2 linked regions of the Mytilus edulis genome follow. The main gene of each other region encodes a partner of the protein of the gene in region 2 in a complex. Links are inferred from orthologs where the notes say so. Each region holds a gene or a part of one and is shown on either strand. Other genes may lie near its edges.

Region 1 (10,658 bases), on a different chromosome or scaffold from region 2:
CAGATGGCGCCAAAAAAATCTAAGTTGGGAAAGAGGTTCAGGGGCGGATGCAGGAATTTTCGAAAGGGGGGGTGCTAACCCAGGGCACCCAGGGCAAAGGGGGGGGGGTGCAAAACATATGTCCCGATACAAATGCATTGATCGGCAAAAATAAAGGGGGGGTGCGCACCCCCGGAACCCCCCCCCCCCCCCCCCCCCCTGGATCCGCCACTGAGGTTTGAGAAGCTCCCCTCATATAAATAATGTTGTGAGTAGTACCGATTTAAATGGACAATAGATGGACAACAGATGTCTGCAAACAATAGATGATTTTACCTGTGTAACTGAGTGGACCATATCAAATGAAACGTATGCGTTTGTTTATCTAATATCTTAGCTTGCTACCTTCTTCAGACCGGAAAAAATGCTCATCAAAATCAAGGTAGTAGTCTTTATTTTTCTGAAACATAGACAACATATAACTTTTATATAAATGTATCTAGGTCCTGCTATGCCTTAACACTTTCCTTGATGCATTACTTAGTTTGTCTGTACTCATAGAAAATTTTGTGGTGTAAACACTGCCACTGTTTTCCCTTTTTATGAACTTATAGACCATTCAATTAGATATTTATTGGAAAGACTACAATAGAGGCATGATCCATGTACAGACCAGAGGCGGATTTAGAGGGGGCCCAGGCCTCCTCGTTTTCTGGTAAAAATTTGGTTGATTTATTATATAGGGAATTACTGAAGCATGACCTGAGCGGGCCCCCTCTTAGGCAGTCAGTGACAGAGGCGGATGAAGGTGGGGGGGGGGGGGGGGGGGGGGGGGGCAGGGGGCCCCTTTTTTGGAAAAAATTTGGTTGCTTATATAGGTAATGACTGAAGCGTGACTGAAGCGGGCCCCCTCTTAGAGCAGTCAGTGGGCCCCCACTTATGAAAATTTCTAGATCCGCCACTGAGTGGGTCCCTGCAGACAGTAATATATTCAAACAACATATAAGCAAAATATATATATCAGGGTTCTCACTAGGAATTTTTCAAGGTGAGTCCTGGGACACATCAATTTTAAAAATGGTGAGTCCCAAAAGATTTTGATGAGTCCAGGAAGTATGTAATTTTTTGTGTCTAAATAAAATGAAATATGACGAAATAAAACTAAAACGATGCTTGTCGGATTTGTAGTTTTCATAATATATATATATATCAATTCTTGGTGTATGGCCACATTTTTAAAAAAATGTTGGTTTGCCAAAGCCAGACTGCCATATAAAAGACTGGGTCTAAAGGTAGGTTATGTTTTTCTTTTTTTTTCTTTGGGGTGGGGGAGGAGGAATGTTAATTGACTATTTAATAATAAACTCAGTAAAAGAAGTTTTCTTTGTTCTTATTGGTGATTTTTTAGTTATAAACTGGACATTTGGTCCAGTAATGATTAAGATACTTATACTAGACTTAAATAACCCCAAAAAAATATAGAATAACTTTACAAATTAACCCCATCTCCTTTACACCCTTTTCTAATCAGTGGCAGATCCAGAACTTTTTGTAAGGTGGGCCCACTCCAGTCACGCTTTAGTGATTCCCTATACAGGGTTGTCAATAAGATTTAAAGTAGGAGGTTAAATAATAAAAGTAGCAGGCAACACCGGCGGACGGCGTAGCCGTTCGGCGCGACGAGCTTGCTCGTTGCCCTTCACGGCGAGGGGTCTGAATTTTTTTTTAAAATGGTGCAAAATCCTGCACCCTGGGGGGCTCCTGAACTCTAATTTTGTTCTTCGCAAACACCATTTTTTTAATGATGATAAGGTAAATGAGCAGCAAGATGGTCATATTTTCTATAAAGTTGATCACATATCATCAAGACTTTCAGCTAACAAGTTATTGAAGTTGTTTGCAGGTTTTTGAGGAAAATAATGAAGGCATGACTCTGTAAGACATGGTGATCATTCAGGAAAAGATTTAAATTTGATTTTATTAGTTGAAAATATTTTTAATTTAACTGTAGACATGCAATTATTCAAATAGTTCTAACCCATAGAAAACATTTTTCAGTATTAATAATTTCAAATACTTATCACAATAAATCAAATGATGAATTCAATGGACTGTTGTTTAAAGGCAAAAAGGATGCACTTTGGTGAAATTACAATAATCAAATAAAATTGATACCATAATTCAGAAGAGCATTAGTTAAGAAGCAAACAAAAGGAAAGAAAGAAATCTAAGATCTGCTTACATTTTGGTATTAAAATGAGTTTTTGTGAGTTAATAATTGAAGTCTTTTATTAAAGAAAGGAAAAATGGGATTATCATGGTCATAGGTCAAAATATTTTACCCTGTATCATAGGGGAAAACCCAGAGATTAAACATCTGACAGAAATTCCAGAACCTGGTCAAAGTACATCCTTGAATGCATAATGCAAGACTCACACTTCTTTATAATCATAGGGAGACATCATCCTCATCCTCATCCTCACTTTTTATTATTATTACTTGGATCAGGTTAGTCAGGGCATGATTGTGTCAGGTGGTGGCATGCTCCTAGTCCTAGTATTTATGACTCTATTTGAAGCTACACAATGACATGCAAACGAGCTATCTCTACATTTTTTTCTTTCATTTCAAAAGAAAGGCCATGGGACAGGTAAACATATGATTTATGATTTATGGTAAAAATAAAGAGTCTGCTGTTAAGAGGCTCTATCACTTGAAAACAAGAAAGTGAATATCACTTAATGAAAATAATAATGTGATGTCTGCTTTTACGAGACAAGACATTGCTCTTTTTTTCATTTCATGGTAGGACCACGATCATGCACTTTCATGAACATGACCAAGGAGGGTGTCTCAATTATTTGAATGCAAATGTCATAGAACAAAACTTTTTTTCACTTTGTTGTTGATTGAAAAAAATCTGAAATTATTTTCATTTCTCTGACTATGCTATTGACTGGTTACAAAATCTCGTTATTACTATGAATGCATCCTTTTCCTGGTTTCAGTACAAAATCTTATAGTACTTTGCAGCGAAATCAACAACCAGGATCTATTTTACCGGAAATTCAATTTTATTAACCAATCAGAAATGCCGTTATATATTTCTCTTGATTGTCCTAGATAGTGACCGACGATCTAAAACTAAAAGTACGATTTATATTTTTTTGACATCAGAAAAACAACCGATGGGAATTTGATTATAAACGACCATTTCAATCGGCAATCGGTTCTTAATGAATACGCTGCTATATAAGCAACCAAATTTGCCAAAAGGGTCCCCTGGATTCGCCTATAGATGTTAATTAAATTGGTGTAGATGAAATTATATATATCAAGTTTAACTATTCTCCTAGCACTCATCTTGGGACTCAGGGGATACAATCAGGACGCGTCCCAGGAATTCATGGGTTTCAAAAATTATGCATCCTGCTCGATTGCCAGAGGCGGATTTAGGGGGAAGGGGCCCGGGCCCCCCCTTTTTGGGAAAAAATTTGGTTGCTTATATAGGGAATCACTGAAGCGTGACTGGAGCGGGCCCCCTCTTAGGTCAGTCAGTGGGCCCCCACTTATGAAAATTTCTGGATCCGCCACTGATTGCCATGCATCCAGAATGTGTATACGCGTCTTTACGAGAACCCTGTATATGCATGTATGCGTAACAACAAGTCATTCTATGAGTAAATTCCATGAATACCATAATGTCTTTTTTTTCTTTTTTTCCTGAAATGCATAAAAATCAATTTTATGGTTTTCTTCAGAAAATTTCTATTTATTGCATGTTATTTTATAACTGAGATGTGAGTAACAGCACAGGCATTTGTTTCTGTCAATATGGGATTTACATATATAGAAAACCCCATATTGATAATCATATTGACAGAAACAAGTGCCTGTGAGTAACAGTTAGCCTCAGCAGTTAGCCTGAACATTGTTGTTGTATAATGCTATCCTAGACTTACCGATTAGATAATGTTAATGCTGCTATTAATCTACCCACAGAAGTGACTGTCAGTAATAAATACGTCAGTTAAACTAACATTTACTGCAAAACAGTAACATTTGATGAACAGATAAATTACTTTTTTTACAATTTCCACAAACCGGAAGTTACTTTTCTAAACCCCGAAACGGTTACGTTCAGATTGAGATGAACAGCAAGCGGAGTGGTGTTAATCATTTTATGAAAATATCTTTTCAAACAAAATCAAACATATTGTAAACCAATCATAAAGTTTTATTCAAAGTACCATGTCTATAGAATTTGCACAATATTATGAAAGATAAAAATACATTGGTTAATAGTGTGACGTCCAGTGACAAATATTTCACTTTTATATCCAACCGAAATAGAAAACAATTTATAAATTACGTGATTTGATTTTGATTCTAGAAAAATCCATTTATAGGGCCATAGAGCTTCTTGAACATAAAACGAAAATGAACAAATCACTTCACAGAACATTTAGAATTAAGCAGCTGGTTTACTGACCGGTCACGGTTACGAAATGCCAAAAAAAGAAAAGGAAACAAACCAAGTGACACAAATATTCAACAACGATAGCGTATGTTAAACTCACTACGAGATGGGTCAACTTTTTCAAAAAGAATCCGTGGTGAACTTTTTAACAAAGTTGAAATTTTGACATTTCGACATACTCGAAATTTCAACTTTCAGTCAAAGGAGTCAGATCCGCCGGTAAGGGCCGATTATGGCCTCACATTTCAGGTTCATCTGATGCCCGGAAAGAATTTGGACACTTTTTTTAACACTTAAGTATCTACTTCAGTCGATTCAATTAGTTTATGTGAAAGATTTGAACTGATTTGGTCAGTCACTTTTCAGATGGTTTTGTCACAAATCACGTTCACTCTCAAACTTTGTATATGTTATGTAATATCATCAAATGAAACTAACATAATAAAAGTCATTAAAAAGGAACACAAATGCGGCCACTTTCATTTGAAGACGGAAACCGTCTAAAATCTAACTCAAATTATAAAATTGATAAGATTTCAGTTATTTATCCGATGACTTAATGATGTTAATATCCGATATATGTGCATCATTTGTATTGTCAAAAAACAGCCCATATTTATGTAATATAAGCATTCTACTTTCCAATAAATAGCCAAAAGTTTACATTTTAAAAATTATGTAAAACTGCTATGGTTTGGGGCCAAAAGGGGGTCTTAATGGACCTACTCCTTTCACAAAGTTTTGACTTTAACTTGAAATTTTGCCTTTTATATATTTAAAAATTTCGACGTCAAAATTTCGATTATAAACGTACTCGAAATTTCGACTTTAAATTTCAACTGACCTTTGGACATATAGATATGACGACTTTTATAAGCATATAAGTATTACAATTTTAGGAGGATACATCGACGCACATTTTTCAAGCGTCATCCCGCCATTGTGCATTTTTTGACAATATTTATTCAGAAATTGGTTTTATTCTCAAATTATGATATGAAATTTTCACTTTGAAGGGCTTATATGCAAGAATGGATTAGCATTTGGAAAGGATTGTTGGTATAGCAATTGTATATTGTTTATATGAGAATTTGAAGCTTTGTTTTTAATCTCCCTTTTTGAAGGATTTATGAGGTAGACATTTAGAGTTTGTAAAGCATAGCAATTGTGAACTAATATCGATCTGTATTGAAATATTTGCCACTGGAAGTCAAGCATCCAAGAATCATTCAATGATTTGTGTCCGGGATAACATGTAGCTGTTCTTCGCACTTGTTTCAATATGAATGTTTATTGTATTTTCTGATGTGCATGGGTCCCAAAGAGTGCAACAGTATACCACATTGCTTGTCCGACTATCGTTTGATAAGCAATTTATAGGCTTGTAGCTATTTTTGTATGTTTTGCCAGATGAATGATATACACTAGTTAACTGTTGCGTCAATATGTTGTAAACAGGGGGTCCCAACCAAGGACAAAAAGGGGGGGGGGGTCCAACTATATATCCCCATTCAAATGCATTGATCGTCAAAAAAAGGGGGGTCCAACCCCCGGAACCCTCCCCTGGATCCGCCACTGTGTAAAGGTGTGTTATATTTGAGGCCTGAATACTGTATTATTCCTAATCATTTGTCAGTTTGGACTTAAATTGTTCTTAAATGCGGCCATGCAAGTTGTAGTAAATCTGCATACGTTTTTTTATTCTAAGCCGAGAAACTGAGGATGTAAATATTGAATAACGTCATGAGACAGTCTCGTCTACAATTGAAGTTGGTTGGATGTCTTTATGAAGCTTTTTAATGTCTTAGTTTAAAATAATAGGCTGGTATTAAATGATGATGCTTACTATACAAAACCACATGCTCCGCAGGGCGCAGCTTTATACGACCGCAAAGTTCGAACCCTGAACATTGGGGCAAGTATGGACACAACATTCAAGCTTGATACAGCTCTGAATTTGGATTGTGATTAAATAGTTGACACAACACAGGTTTCTGACACATGATGAATGTGGTCTAAGAACTTAAACTTTAAAACTTTAAATTTTAAATTGGACATTACCTATTATGGTCCAATATCCAAAATCTAAATACATGGTTAGATTCAGCATATCAAAGAACCCGAAGAATTCAATTTTTGATTGAAATCAAATAAAGTTCAAATTTGGACCCTTTAGACCTCAATGTGGACCAATCAGATAACCGGGCCCAAACATCAAAAATCTAAATACATGGTTAGATTAAGCATATATCAGAGAACCCCATATATACAATTTTTGTTGAAATCAAACAAAGTTTACCGCAATTTGGACCAACTTGAAAACTGGGCCTATAATCAAAAATCTAAGTACATGTTTAGATTCAGCATATCAAAAAACACCAAGAATTCAATTTTGTTGAAATCAAACAAAGTTTAATTTTGGACCCCAATTTGGACCAACTTGAAAACTGGGCCAATAATCAAAAATCTAAGTACATGTTTAGATTCAGCATATCAAAGAACCCCAAGAATTCATTTTTTGTTAAAATAAAACTTAGTTTAATTTTGGACCCAAATTTGGACCAACTTGAAAACTGAGAAAATAATCAAAAATCTAAGTACATGTTTAGATTCAGCATATCAAAGAACCCCAAGAATTCATTTTTTGTTAAAATAAAACTTAGTTTAATTTTGGACCCAAATTTGGACCAACTTGAAAACTGAGAAAATAATCAAAAATCTAAGTACATGTTTAGATTCAGCATATCAAAGAACCCCAAGAATTCATTTTTTGTTAAAATAAAACTTAGTTTAATTTTGGACCCTTTGAACCTTAATGTAGACCAATTTGAAAATGGGACCAAAAAATTAAGAATCTACATACACAGTTAGATTCGGCATATCAAAGAACCCCAATTATTCAATTTTTGATGAATTCAAACAAAGTTTAATTTTGGACCCTTTGGGCCCCTTATTCCTAAACAGTTGGGACCTCAACTCCCATAATTAATCCCAACCTTCCTTTTGTGTTCATAAACCTTGTGTTTAAATTTCATTGATTTCTATTTACTTGTACTAAAGTTATAGTGCGAAAACCAAGAAAAATGCTTATTTGGGCCCCTTTTTGGCCCCTAATTCCTTAACTGTTGGGACCTCAACTCCCAAAATCAATCCCAACCTTCCTTTTATGGTCATAAACCTTGTGTTTAAATTTCATAGATTTCTATTTACTTATACTAAAGTTATAGTGCGAAAACCAAAAGTCTTCGGACGCCGTTGCTGACTACGACGCCAACGTGATACCAATATACGACCAAATTTTTTTTAATTTTTGCGGTCGTATCAAAATCTTGTTTGGCTGTGTTTTAGATACTATTCTAATATGACGTGCTTCTTTCGCTTTGTAAACAACACCGTGATAAAATTCTCGATATATCTATACTTAGCGCAGACTCCAAGATGTACACAAATGGCTGTTTAAATATGCCTCCCACGTAAATCCACATGTATCGTAACCTATGTGTAAACGGTTGTTGATTTCGCCGTATTAACAATTACACTTGAATAAAACCCTACAGAACATTTATTCTGATTCTGATGCATAACAAAAAGAATTTACACATTAGAGAACGGAAAAATGGACAAAAACAAAATAAATTAAAATTCCGCGAAATTCCAGTAATGATTTTTGCGCATTAACGTCATTTCAAAACATGACGTCATACGAATGAAAACGTCAAAGCTGAAGGTTTTTCTATTGCGTTTACCTTCTAAACTCGGATACAATTGCATTAAAATAAAGTATTGAGGTAGGTGTTGCTTGTTTTCTGTTCTATTGCATTAATCGCAAATTTACTGATTTCAGCAAGTCAACATGGCGGCTCCTTGGTTACAACATGTCAACAGTGAATTTGACGGTAGCTTACGATAAAAAATGTAGATTTAAAATGCAAATGTTTGGTTTACTGAGAAGTAAAAAAAGTAATCACATTTTTTTTCTAGCGGTTAGTTAAGAAATCATTCATGCAGGTTTATTAGATTTGTTTTACATTTATCGAACAGTGGGTAAAATAGAACAGCCACACACAAGGTATACCCATCATCGCTTCAGTTTTTTAATGATCGTATTTGTCCTATTAGAATCGAAATAATTCATGGAAGCCATAGATTTGTTGTAAATTTACACATGGCCTGGGCCGTGATATTCGTTAATTTTATCCCTCGCTAACGCTCAGGATAAAATTCGAATATCACGGCCCAGGCCATGTGTAAATTTCCAACAAATCTATGGCTTCCATGAATTATTTCTTAAGTATTCTTTTTAATAATATTCTATGTATATGAAATAAAGTATTAGTGTACTGTATGCCCTGGGGAATATCTAATGTATCATGTTGGTATTTTTTTTTATCAGATTCAGTGTTGTCAAGTCTATTTGATTTCTGTATGGAGAGGAATAATTAGATCCACTTAGTTGTCTTGTCTGAGATGTCATAGTTTTTTTTTTATGTGTTAAGTAAACATATGACGATGATGTGTGGTACTTTATCAAAGTCATGATTTCTAGATTATTTTGTGTATTTTTGTCATTGTTTTGTTTCAGTCAGTCTATACTAAAGAAATACATGCAGTTACTTGGCAGATTAATAGTCCAATACCGAAATAAAGATGCAACTTTTATTGTTATTAACTAATATATATGCTTGTCCATGATCATCATATTAGAAAAGGTAAATTCACAACGAAGTTGGGTTAAACCTGGTTTTATAGCTAGCTAAACCTCCCACTTGTATGACAGTTATAATGAAACAAGAGTATAATTAAAAGTTTTTATACAACTATCACATCAATTTAACATGAACCAAGAAAATGAGGTCAAGGTCAGATAAACCAAATTAGAAATACATGTAAACGTTACATTCAATCCATATACCAAATATGCTTTTAATATTTGACCTATTGCACATTACAGAAACAAACTAACCCAGGAAAACTTAACATTGATTAATGAACCATGAAAATGAGGTTATGGTAAGATGATAATTGCCAGAAACATTTACACCCTACAATCATTCCATAAACTAAATATATTTGAACTATTGTTTAAAATATTAGAAAAACAGACCAAAAAAATATAATATTGGGCAATGAACCATGAAAATTTGGTCAAGGTCAAATAAAACAGACTGACTTGCAAATTGTAAAATATTTTTCTACACCAAATAAAGTTGACCTATTGCAAAACAGTATTAAAACAAATGACCAATACATAAAAACTCAACTATAACCAATGAACCATGAAAATGAGGTCAAGGTCAGATGACACCTGCTAGATGAACATATACACCTTACAGTCATTCCATACACCAAATATAGGAGGCCTATTGCTTATAGTATCTGAGATATGGACTCAACAACTTAACCTTGTTCACTGATTCCATGAAATGGGGTCAAGGTCAAGTTAAAACTGTCTGACAGACATGAGGACCTGCATGGTATGAACATACCGAATTATTTATCCTATTACACTATTGTACTTATAATAAGAGAGGAATTAAGGATACTAAAAATATTGGTTTTTTTTAACAAGTAGTTACTGAACAAAGAAAATGAGGTCAAGGACAATGAACATATGACAGATGGTAACTTTATAACATAAGGCATCTATATCTATAAAGATGATTTTTAATTTTAGTTTCTTGTGTGTATATTTTGGAGTTTAGTATGTTGTCAATTATCACTGAACTAGTAAACATTTTTGTTTAGGGGACAGCTGAAGCACACCTCTGGGTGCAGAATTTTCTCGCTGCATTGAAGACCCATTGGTGGCCTTCGGCTGTTGTTTGCTCTTTGGTCGGGTTGTTGTCCCTTTGACACATTCCCCATTCACATTCTCAATTTCATAATAGGTAAATGAGACATTAATAGAGATCCATCAGCCAAAACTGTGTAAACATACACAACTACAAAAAAATTCAAACAAACATAAAAATAAATCTAATAAGGAAGCCAACAAATAAGGTGTTATAGATAATAGTTAATTTGACAAAGACCCTAAAAAAACAGTTTTTGTTAGTTGAAAGAGGGAAAATCGTCTTTAAATAAGTTTAAACCAGCATAATAAAACCTCTGAATGTCTTCCTAGGAGTAGGAACAATCAGACAGGCATTTCGTAATAAAGCCTCTTATGACTTAAGATTTTGATTGGACTATACAGAT
Region 2 (10,691 bases):
TCAAACAAAACAAAACTTTATTTTAAACAAGAATGTGTCCTCAGTACACGAATGCCCCACTCGCACTATCATTTTCTATATTCATTGGACCGTGAAATTGGAGTAATATCTCTAATTTGGCATTAAAATTAGAAAGATCATATCATAGGGAACATGTGTACCAAGTTTGAAGTCGATTGGACTTCAACTTCATCAAAAACTACCTTGACCAAAAACTTTAACCTGAAGCGGGACAGACGGACGAACGAATGGACGGACAGACAGACGGACAGACGGACGGACAGACAGACGGACGGACGGACGGACAGACGGACGGACGGACGGATGAACGGACGCACAGACCAGAAAACATAATGCCCCTAAAATAACAAGTTGAGAAAAGTATATAAATCAGATATAAGAGAAATATATCTGTTCCAGAAATTCATCATGATGCAACATACCCTAAAGTCTCACGGGGGGGTCTCTTCCTATATAAAGGTATATACATATGTGCCGCTGGAATGGGTCCCTTTTTTGATCTGTCAAATATATCAATGGGGTGCAATTTTACCGAGGAAATATATCAATAGGTAGTAATTGACCGATATAGGTACTATTTGAGCTGATAAATATATGAATGGGTTATGATTTCGCTGTGAAATATATGTATAGGTAGGGATTTCACAATTATTCAATATATGAATGGGGGTTGTTTTTAAAATCCCAGCTGCACACCTGTACCCAAAATCCCATGTTGAGACCCCCCCGTGTAAAGTCTAGATGGTTACAAAATTTTCCTATGATTTAATAATTTTTCATTGCCTGCCTTATATATGTTATGTTGAAAAGTGAACTTTGATTATCAAATAAGAAATAAATTTTCCAGAGAACGCTTGATATGTATTTGTTGTGTTTACATGTATGTTGTAAATAATGTTTTAATTATAGATATTTATGTACATGTCTCTATAAATACTATCCAAATAAAAGGGTAAATAAATAAACAGATGCATAGCTTTGTTGCAAATACTGTCCAATATTTAGGTGTCAAAGATAAAAGATAAATCTTAAGCCCAATTGTGGACATATACATGTATACAAACAAATTTTATCAGTATAACCATTAATATCTATTGACATTATGATATACGTCATCAATTCTCATCAATCGTGAAAAATTTCCATTGATGAAATCCAACAACATGTATCTTTATAGTGTATCAGATCATTAAAAAAAAGGTTATTTTCTAGCGTTATATTGAAACCAAATATTTCAAAACCAGATTCAAGCCATTGACAGAGGAAAAGGGGCAGGAGAATAAGCATAAATATTTTGAAAGTTTCAATTTCTAATGAAATGATTAAATGTGGTATGTCAGTATTATTAGAACCCCTATCAAAACTTTTCAATCTAGTATTTATGAAAGGCAGCTTCCCAAAATTATGGAACAAAAGTCTGATTACTTTAATTCATAAAAAGGGAAACAAATCTAACCCCTCTAATTATAGAGGTATCTCATTGACTTTTAATTTGGGAAAATTATTCCATAAAATTATACACACTAGACTTATGAAGTTTATTAACACCAATAATTAATCTGATAAATGAAAATCAGATTGGCTTCACAGAAAAAGCTAGAACAGCAGATCATATCTTCTCTGTAGACAATTATAGAAGACTAAAAAAAAGAAAGTTTTTGCAGCGTTTATAGATCTCCGAAAAGCCTTTGATACTGTCTGGAGGGAGGAGGGTTTATGCTGCATCCTACTCCAAAACAGACTTCCAGGCAAGCTTTTTAATGTCATCCAATCAATGTATAATGAAAACAAATGCAGAATTAAATTTCAAAATGGTATTAGCCATGAATTTATATCAAATTGTGGAGTAAAACAAGGGGATGTACTTTGTTTAATATTTATATAAATGGCCTTGTAAATGACCTTGATCATGCAAACACTCAACCAATTATTATAGGAGATGTCAAACTAACATCATTATTATATGCAGATGGCATTATTCTATTGTCTGAAACCCAAGAAGGGCTATACAGAATTAACTAAATTTTGTTCCCTATGGAAACTTGATGTAAACAAACAAAAATCAAAGATTATAATATTCAATTCTAATGGAAAATCTCATTGTAATTATTTTAAAGTAGAAAACGAACAACTTGAGACTGTTAAATCATATTGTTACCTTGGAATAACTATAAATTGTTCAGGAAGTTTAAGTCATTCAAAAAATATCTTATAGAAAAAGGAAGAAAGGCTTGGTTTAAAATAAAAAAAAACAGTCTCCTTAGATAATTCCTGCAGTATGCTTGAAAAATTATTTTGATACTTTAGTTGTTTCAATAACTCTTTATGGAAGTGAAGTTTGGGGTGTAAGCCAAGTGTTCAAAGATTCAGATCCATTTGAACATTTACATATGAAATTTTAGGAGTACAGTGCAAAACAACAAATGTAGCCTGTTTAGCTGAGACAAACAGAACCCCTTTGTACTTTATAATTCAGCTTTCAGCTATAAAATTTCTAAACCACATTGTGAACTCCCCTAACACTTTAGTCCATAAAATATATAATAATGTAGAGAAAACAAGTAAATGGGTTAACATTGTTAAAGACTGGTTAAATAAATTAGGTTTTGGTCATCTCACTTTTGATGCTATTAATTTAAAATATCACATAAATACTATCCAACAAAGAATCTATGACCAGGCTTATCAAATTATAAATTGCTCTATCAATAAATATGAAATTTAAATTTCTTTTGTCATACTAAAAGAATTAGAAAAAGGACCCCATATATTGATATATATGTAATCTCAAAACTGACCGATCAGTTTTCAGTAAATTTAAACTAAGTGCCCATTCTCTAGCAATTGAATGAGGGTTATACAAACATTGAAAGAAGTAAACGCATATGCTTATCCTGTAACAGACAAGAAATTGAGGATGAATACCATTTCTTCTCAATCTGTCCATGCTATACATCATTGAGGGAATCCCCCGATACCTATATACAAAATATTAATAAAAATCTTAATTTCAATTTTATTTAAATTGCAGTCTGCTATAACACTGAAACATTTGACTGCACTTTTAAATTGCAGTCTACCAGTCATTATAAAAATCACCATAAAGTATATTAATGATTGTTTTTTATTGAGAACATCTATATAGCTGTATTTCTTTTAATATGCAACCTAATTTTTGTTTGTGTTCTTTTTTTAATTGTTCATGAACATTAATAATGTGTTAACTGTTGATATTTATAGTCTTTTTCTTCTTCCCTGTAAATACCACTGTCATTCATATATAATTATAATCAATTTAACTATTGTCAATTTATACATAATGTCATGCCAAAACCACTTAATGTAAATGTGTTTGTGCTAATAAATATTGTCTATTGTCTATGAATTATGCAGGAAATTGATGTTCATCCCTCTACAGGAAGCTGCATATAGTGTGAGGCTTTCAGAATAGAGAATAAAGAACAAAACATTAAGAATAGAGAATGGAGAAAATTTGGCAAAAACATATAGGATAAAGAAAACTGAGACATGTTCATGATTTTAAAAACAATAGGATTCTAAAATATAAAGAATAAAGAACAATGACCATTTAAAATAATAAAGACTATATATATAGACAATTGGCCTAAACAATTAATAAATATGTATACAAATATGACAAATATGACAGTCTTCACGATGAACTATAAAAACTACAGGCCTGGAGCTCAATTTTTGAAATTTTTTTATTAGATTCTGTTGGCCTGTAGATATGATTTTTACAGGCCGAGAGTAATTTTACTAGCCTGGGCTGTCTCGGGTGCCACTCAGCGTGAAGACTGTTTCAAATATGGAGAGCATCATCCAGATCTGCATAAATTAAAGATCTTTTTCATCTGCACTCAAACTCAATGAACATACTTGTTCACTGGGTTAATCAATACCATCTGAAACTTTGTGAGTATGAAATCAAGGATGTGATAAAAATCCTTGATGAAATGAAATACATTCTTTTTTTAATTATATGATATCAAAGATTTGACGATATAAACTATGTTATAGAGCAGCAGTACGATGAAGAAAAAAAATCAGTTGGTCGAATTGTGTAATGGTCTATTTGAGTTCAATTGGGTAACCCATCACTCCGGACCTAACCAACAGTATATTGTATTGTATAAATTATATAGGAAGTAAATTACACATCATTAACTTCCTTGGTTTTTTAGTTGCTCAGTTTGTGCTAATGTTTTGTTTGTTATTCTTTATTTTATAAGAAAATTGTTCAATATGAAATGTATCAACATTATTGAAATCTATGATAAATAAAATATATCGTTTAGTTTTACACTTTATCAGCAAAAAAGGTTATCTTTGAAAACAGGGATATCATGTTCTACAACTCATTATTTATAATTTGTATGTTTTGCATTTGAAGGAAGACAATCTATGTACAGATTGGTAATACATGATGTTGTGAAATTTATTGATGATCACTTATATTCACTTTGCTAAAAGTCCAAATAAAACAGTTTGGGTATTCATTTTGAGGAATAAAAAAAGACTAAGGACAGAAACACTAAGCAAAAGTATTTTTTATCTTTGACTTTTACAAAACGTCATAGGCTACTGATAAAGGAGATATGTTATGACTGCAATTGATATATTTTTAAGATACATGAACATATAAAAAGAAGATGTTGTATGATTGCCAATGAGACAACTGTCCACAAGAGACCAAAATGACACAGAAATTAACAACTATAGGTCACCGTACAGCCTTCAATGGTGAGCAAAGCCCCTACAGCATAGCCAGTTATAAAAAGCCCTGAAATGACAATGTAAAACAATTCAAATGAGAAAACTAACGGCCTTATTTATGTACAAAAAATGAACCAAAAAAAATATGTATTAACACATAAACAAACCACAACCACTGAACTACAAGGTCCTGACATGTAGCTTATAATTTAACTTGAAATACATATACATGTACATGATGTATAATGTTAAAATTCATAGTTTCATTTGTTGATTGTACATGTATATTGAGAAAATTAGTATCAATAGCTTGATACAATAATTTTTTACAAATTAAATGATTTTTTTGCGGCAAAATTGTATATTTTATGCCTTTTTTATGTATATGGCTCTGATCTGGTTGTAGATTAACATCTAAGAAATAGTTAAATTCATATTTATGATTTGTGTCAACATTATTGTAACAATTATAAAAATCATTGTAATAAATTGTTTTGCTCTTCATGGGCCCTTTAATTGGAATAAAAATATCTTATCTTATATATAATTGTTCATTTATTTACAGCAGACAATAACTGACTGTCAGATCAATGAAAAATACATATTATATTCATTTTACCAAGGACTTGTACAAAAAAAATGTATATATAGTAAGACGATACAAATTCGTGATACTGTATTACGATATTTTCATTTATGCACTTTTGTTTCTTAACAGAACTACGATTTAGTCAGGGGCAAAAACTTGAGGCAAAGTAGCATAAAAAGGGATAATATACATGACACATTTTTTAGCTGGAGTATGGGGTGTGAAGTGCCAGTGGTAGTATATATACTAAGATTAGAAGAATGGAATTTAGAGTTATATATAGCCTAGGGGAAGGGAGTGGGTATATGGGGTAGGAAATTTTGGAATCAGGGGACCCACTTTAGTCCTCTAGTAGAGATTAGTAATGGGAGTACCTTCATGATGAATATAAACAATAAAAGTTCTTGCCAAATCACGTTCACAGTAATTTTTAGTGCATGACAATAAAATTACACTTTCTTTTAGGCGATCAAATATTCGACTAGCTGATTTTGACGCATCACTCTAAAAAAATAATCCAAAAATGATGTTAAAGAAAATTTTGTTGAGACATCTGACATCATGATAAGGATATTTTGACAAATCAAGGTAAAAGTTCAACCAATTTGACACTAACATGACTAACCACTGGTGGATCTAGAAATTTTCATAAGTGGGGGCCCACTCCTGTCACGCTTCAGTGATTCTCTATATAAGCAAATTTTCCCCAAAAAGGGGGGGTCACTGGTCCCCAGGCCCCCCTAAATCCGCCTCTGCTAACATGACTAACACTGGGTTACAGTAGCCGAGAATGACAGTTTGATGTCTGAAGGTAAAGGAAATTACTACCTTTCTCATAGAGTCTACTGACAATAAAATAAATATACATAATTTGTTTACTTTAGTTTATAAATATAAAAAAAAATTATGTCTGACTTTGTTCAGTGTAGCATAGCCACGCCATATGCCAAGCACTTTGATCAGCATTATGGTAAACATCTTAACAATCAATGAAGAATGCTGTTTAAACCTATATCTGTTATTTTTATACCTTTGTGTTTTTCTATTTGTAAATATTTACAAAATATATACAGAGCTATTTTCTGAGTTTGTCAGGTTTTTGTTATTGTCAATATAAACACTTCCTCGACGTTGCTCAATCGAAGTCGTTTGAACGCTTTCAGGTGGCAAATGCAAAGGAGAAACTTTTATTTGTAATTCGTTTAAGTAAGACAAATGAACAGCTGAAATGTCTGGTAAAAGACCAGCAAAAGGGAAAGGTAAAAGACCAAAACAAAAAATAGAACCATATTGCGATATCCGTCTGTGGATTAGTACTACGAAGGTTGACACCCCCCTTTTCTCTGCAAAATATTCCAAATAGATATTGCAATTTGACCATTTTGTTTTCTGATTGGTCTAAGAGAATGAGAAAATAGAGCCCTCAGTAAGGGTTCTGGAATTGGATAATTTGCTGAAGATGCAAAAAGTAGGAAATACATGTAAGATGTGTTCGTACCAACATTTGACAAATGAGCCTCTCAAATGTGTATAATAACCTTAATGCTATTTGGAAATCTGTGCCTATTGACCTAAGAATCTGTGCTGCTGGAACTATTGACGTCATAGCCCAAATAATTATGACATTTTGAAAAGCTATTATATTTTTTTTTCTTTGACGTATTACGTCTGTAAAGGTGCTAAAGCAAAACAATATAATACCAACAGCCTATCAAGACATCATAATTAGTTGGACTAGGAACATGTGTGATGTCCAGTAAAAGCTGACAATAGCGATAAGGTGCATTCATGCACTTTCTCCTATAAATATTCTACATCACAGTAAGAATTTGTTTATTAAATGACATCACTGCTCTTTAACGCTTTCGGGTTGATCTGGCCCCACGTCGATCCGGCCCCACGTTGATCCGGCCCCAACAAAATATATATTCATCAGGAATAAAAATAAAGATATATATATATTAATAGTAATTCATAAATGTTTATGATTTTTATTATAATGTAAAAGGTGTACGTAAAAAAAATAAAAAAGGCCTTTTAAAAATATTTTCTTTAGATGAGTATAAAACAACCAGTTTGATCATGTTTTTATTACAAGTTTTCAAGATAATGGGGTATAACTATATTAAAACGTATATAAAAGAATTCAGACATCAACATTAATCAGCAGTAATTAGCATTTTCTTTCAATTGACTGTGATCCCAGTGATGTCGTTAGAAGCCGGCAGCCGGCGATTTTCGCCGGTTATTGTCCTTTTCCTGCTGGCTATTTTTGCATGAGTAATAAAAATTAATAAGATAAAAAGGATAATCAGGTTAATATTAAAAAATAATTGTTCAATGCATCAGCTTCCACGATTAAACTTGCGATAAACAAGGATGTAAATGAGTGTTTATCTTTGACTAAATATAGTTCATGTAAATGCAGTCCGCTGATTGGTCGTCTATATAAAGTCGGTAAGTATTGTATGTTTGCAAGGATAAAAAGAGAGACGTTCCGATGGACATTATGACCCTGTTTGGTTTTTGCTTCAAGAGAAGGAATAATGCAGCAACCATTTGATTTTCTGGGGGGGAGCTATGGGTTTTTTTTCTGGACAAATTTTTTATTTCGCCTGCGGCCAAAAACAATCTATTTTTTTCGTGACAAGTCGAAAAAAAAAAATTTCTTTCAATTTTAGCATTACATCTAGTGGCAGCTGAGGGTGAAACAAACAAATTTTTTTTCTCAGAATCAACATTGATCAAAAACAAATTATTTTTTTCTCCAAAAACTGGAAACAAACTTTTTTTTCCAAAAAAAACCATAGCCTCCCCAGAAAAGCCTCTGATGTTACCTGAAAAAAAATACAATTACTTATAATTATATACACCAAACAAAAGAACAAACAATAAAGACCTTGTTGCTTACGTAACTTTGATTAATCAATTAATTAATTAATTTAATCAATTGGATTTGATTGAATTAAGTGATTTATGAGTGACATTACCTTAGTTCACAATCATTAGACAATTGTTGAATAAACAAACCAATTATATATAGACTAATTATTGACAAATGATTTGGTTAAACAAGACATGATGAGTTAAATTTTAAGGGTTTCATTGGACTGTAAATATTTATTTCGCTACTCTGTATGAGAAGTAAATAAATTCAAATTCATCATGACAAAGATGACATTCAAAGTCAACATGGAAAATATCTTCACATTTTAAAATATGTTGGAGCTGCTATACAAACAGACACAACAACACTCAGTTTCGTATCGATTTAAAATAGTTCTTTAGTTTAACTGGTACTCCAATACTTCACTTACCTGTTGTCATCCATCATCGACACTTTTTGCAAATTCCGTTTATACTGTTCAAATTTGTCAAAAATTCCTCCATATAGTGAGCATATTTTATTCATATTTTATAATCATGATAATAGGGCCGGATAGACGTGTGCTGGAACAACTATGGGCCGGATTGACTTTGGGCTGGATCAGTTTTGGGGCAGAATGACTGGATACCCTCTTCAACTTTGTACTTGTTTGGCTTTATAACTATTTTGATCTGAGTGTCACTGATGAGTCTTATGTCGACGAAACGCTCGTCTGGTGTATTAAATTACAATCCTGGTACCTTTGATAACTATTTTCATGTACACAGATTGATTTTGCCAATCAATAACTGTTACTCAGTCCTATAGATTTGTTTAAATTGTAAACCAACTTGAGATTTGTGTACATGTATATCCACAATCCTTAATCTTAATGTCTGATGGCACTAATTGTTTCAAATGTGCAATGGTGCAGATTCACTCCTTCGTGTGTTATGCTTAACCGATTTTTCTCTCTGTGCATTTAAAGGGTTTGTTTTTGTTAAGATTGGGATTGGGGAACAGTTGTATCAAATCTGCAGGATAATTTACCACTGTTCGTAGTTTGGGTTTCCCATCTAAGGTCTATGGTTTTCTCCAGTCACTCCGGCTTCGTCCACCATTAAAAACTGGCCCCCACGAAATAGCCTAAATGCGGTGCTTAAAAGTGGTGTTAAAACTGGCTTGAAGAGAGAATTCTTGTTCATATATGCATATATCACACTGCATTGAGTGTGAAACCAAAAAAGTATACACTAAAAATATGTTAACTTGTTTTGCTTATCCAGCATTGTTAATGCAACATTCCATTGGCTATCTGTTAGGTCAATAATGTCTTTCCAAGGACAAAACTGAATATTTCCTTCATGCAATGGAAATATACATGTGATTTCTACCCCATTATATACTATAAAAATTCCAAAACAAGGCATGTCAAAACAAAAGTGACAAAAAAGGAAACATTACACTGTGAATAGTTCTGTGTACAATTTGATTTTATAATTTTTCTCTCTATATTTTGCAGTACATATTGCACCTCCTGGTGACTTTATAGCACTTGGTAAGGGTAAGTCACCAGCAGACAGTGACCTCCCAAGATTACAGTCTAGCAGTAAAAAGCCGGAAAAGAAAAGAGAGGGTGCTCCAGGGATTTCTGGTGCACCTCCAGTGAAGAAGCCAAAAATCTTATCTCATGGACAGACATTTACTCCCCTTGGAAGAACTGATACTGATAGGAGGAGTTCACCAGCTCCTAGTTCTGTTAGTCAATATGAAGAGCTGGCTGTTGAAGGTATAGTTAAAAATCTCAAATTGGAAAAGGGATCTGAGTTGTATAAAGGCATTTTGAATGACATTTTTGTACTGTTAACTTTTTATTACAATTTATAAGTGTTGCAAATTAATACTTCCCTGTTGTACCAAAATTGGTTGGCAATCTCTAAGACTAACTTCAATTTAACTCCACCAAATGTTATTAAACTTATACACATTAATGCTTATAACCACAAAACACAGATCAAAGGAGTAGGTCCGGTAAAGGCTGATTTTGGCCTCAAATTTCAGGTTCATCTGATGAAAGATTTTGGACACTTTTTAAGCACTTAAGTGTCTACTTAGTCGAATCAATTAGTATATGTAAATATTTTAGCTGATTTAGTTGCTGAAAACGCTCCAATTCAAGCTTAAATATGAAAAATCTATCAGTTATGCCATAATATGTCACTTTTTAGATGGTTTTTGTCAAAAATGCTACTCCTTTGAATTTGTTTGCATCACTTTTACCTTAATTAATTGAATTATGCCCTTTATAAACTTATGTTTCCCTCAACCTAATGTAATAAGAATCTTTAAACATATATATATAGGTCCGTATGTGGCCTGTTGCAAGGCAAAATTTCTGTCCCTATTCAATATACCCTCATTTTCCAGTGGCAGTCCAAATTTCCCGACCATTATCCCAGATGGCCTCTCTTGTGACAA

The links. The genes of interacting proteins can lie anywhere in the genome.
Region 1: integrator complex subunit 1-like (region 2) and integrator complex subunit 12-like share a complex: the UniProt entries of both Homo sapiens proteins name them as parts of the integrator complex. The link is inferred for Mytilus edulis from reciprocal best matches to the Homo sapiens genes INTS1 and INTS12.

The regions. Positions count from the first base shown.
Region 1 is NC_092350.1:30,144,009-30,154,666, forward strand, and holds the start of integrator complex subunit 12-like, read right to left. Parts: upstream 4,108-10,658; 5' UTR 3,943-4,107; intron 440-3,942; exon of another isoform or gene 316-439; intron 1-315. UniProt on the Homo sapiens protein: Component of the integrator complex, a multiprotein complex that terminates RNA polymerase II (Pol II) transcription in the promoter-proximal region of genes.
Region 2 is NC_092352.1:85,421,219-85,431,909, reverse strand, and holds the start of integrator complex subunit 1-like, read left to right. Parts: upstream 1-6,462; 5' UTR 6,463-6,575; coding exon 6,576-6,606; intron 6,607-9,735; coding exon 9,736-10,002; intron 10,003-10,691. UniProt on the Homo sapiens protein: Component of the integrator complex, a multiprotein complex that terminates RNA polymerase II (Pol II) transcription in the promoter-proximal region of genes.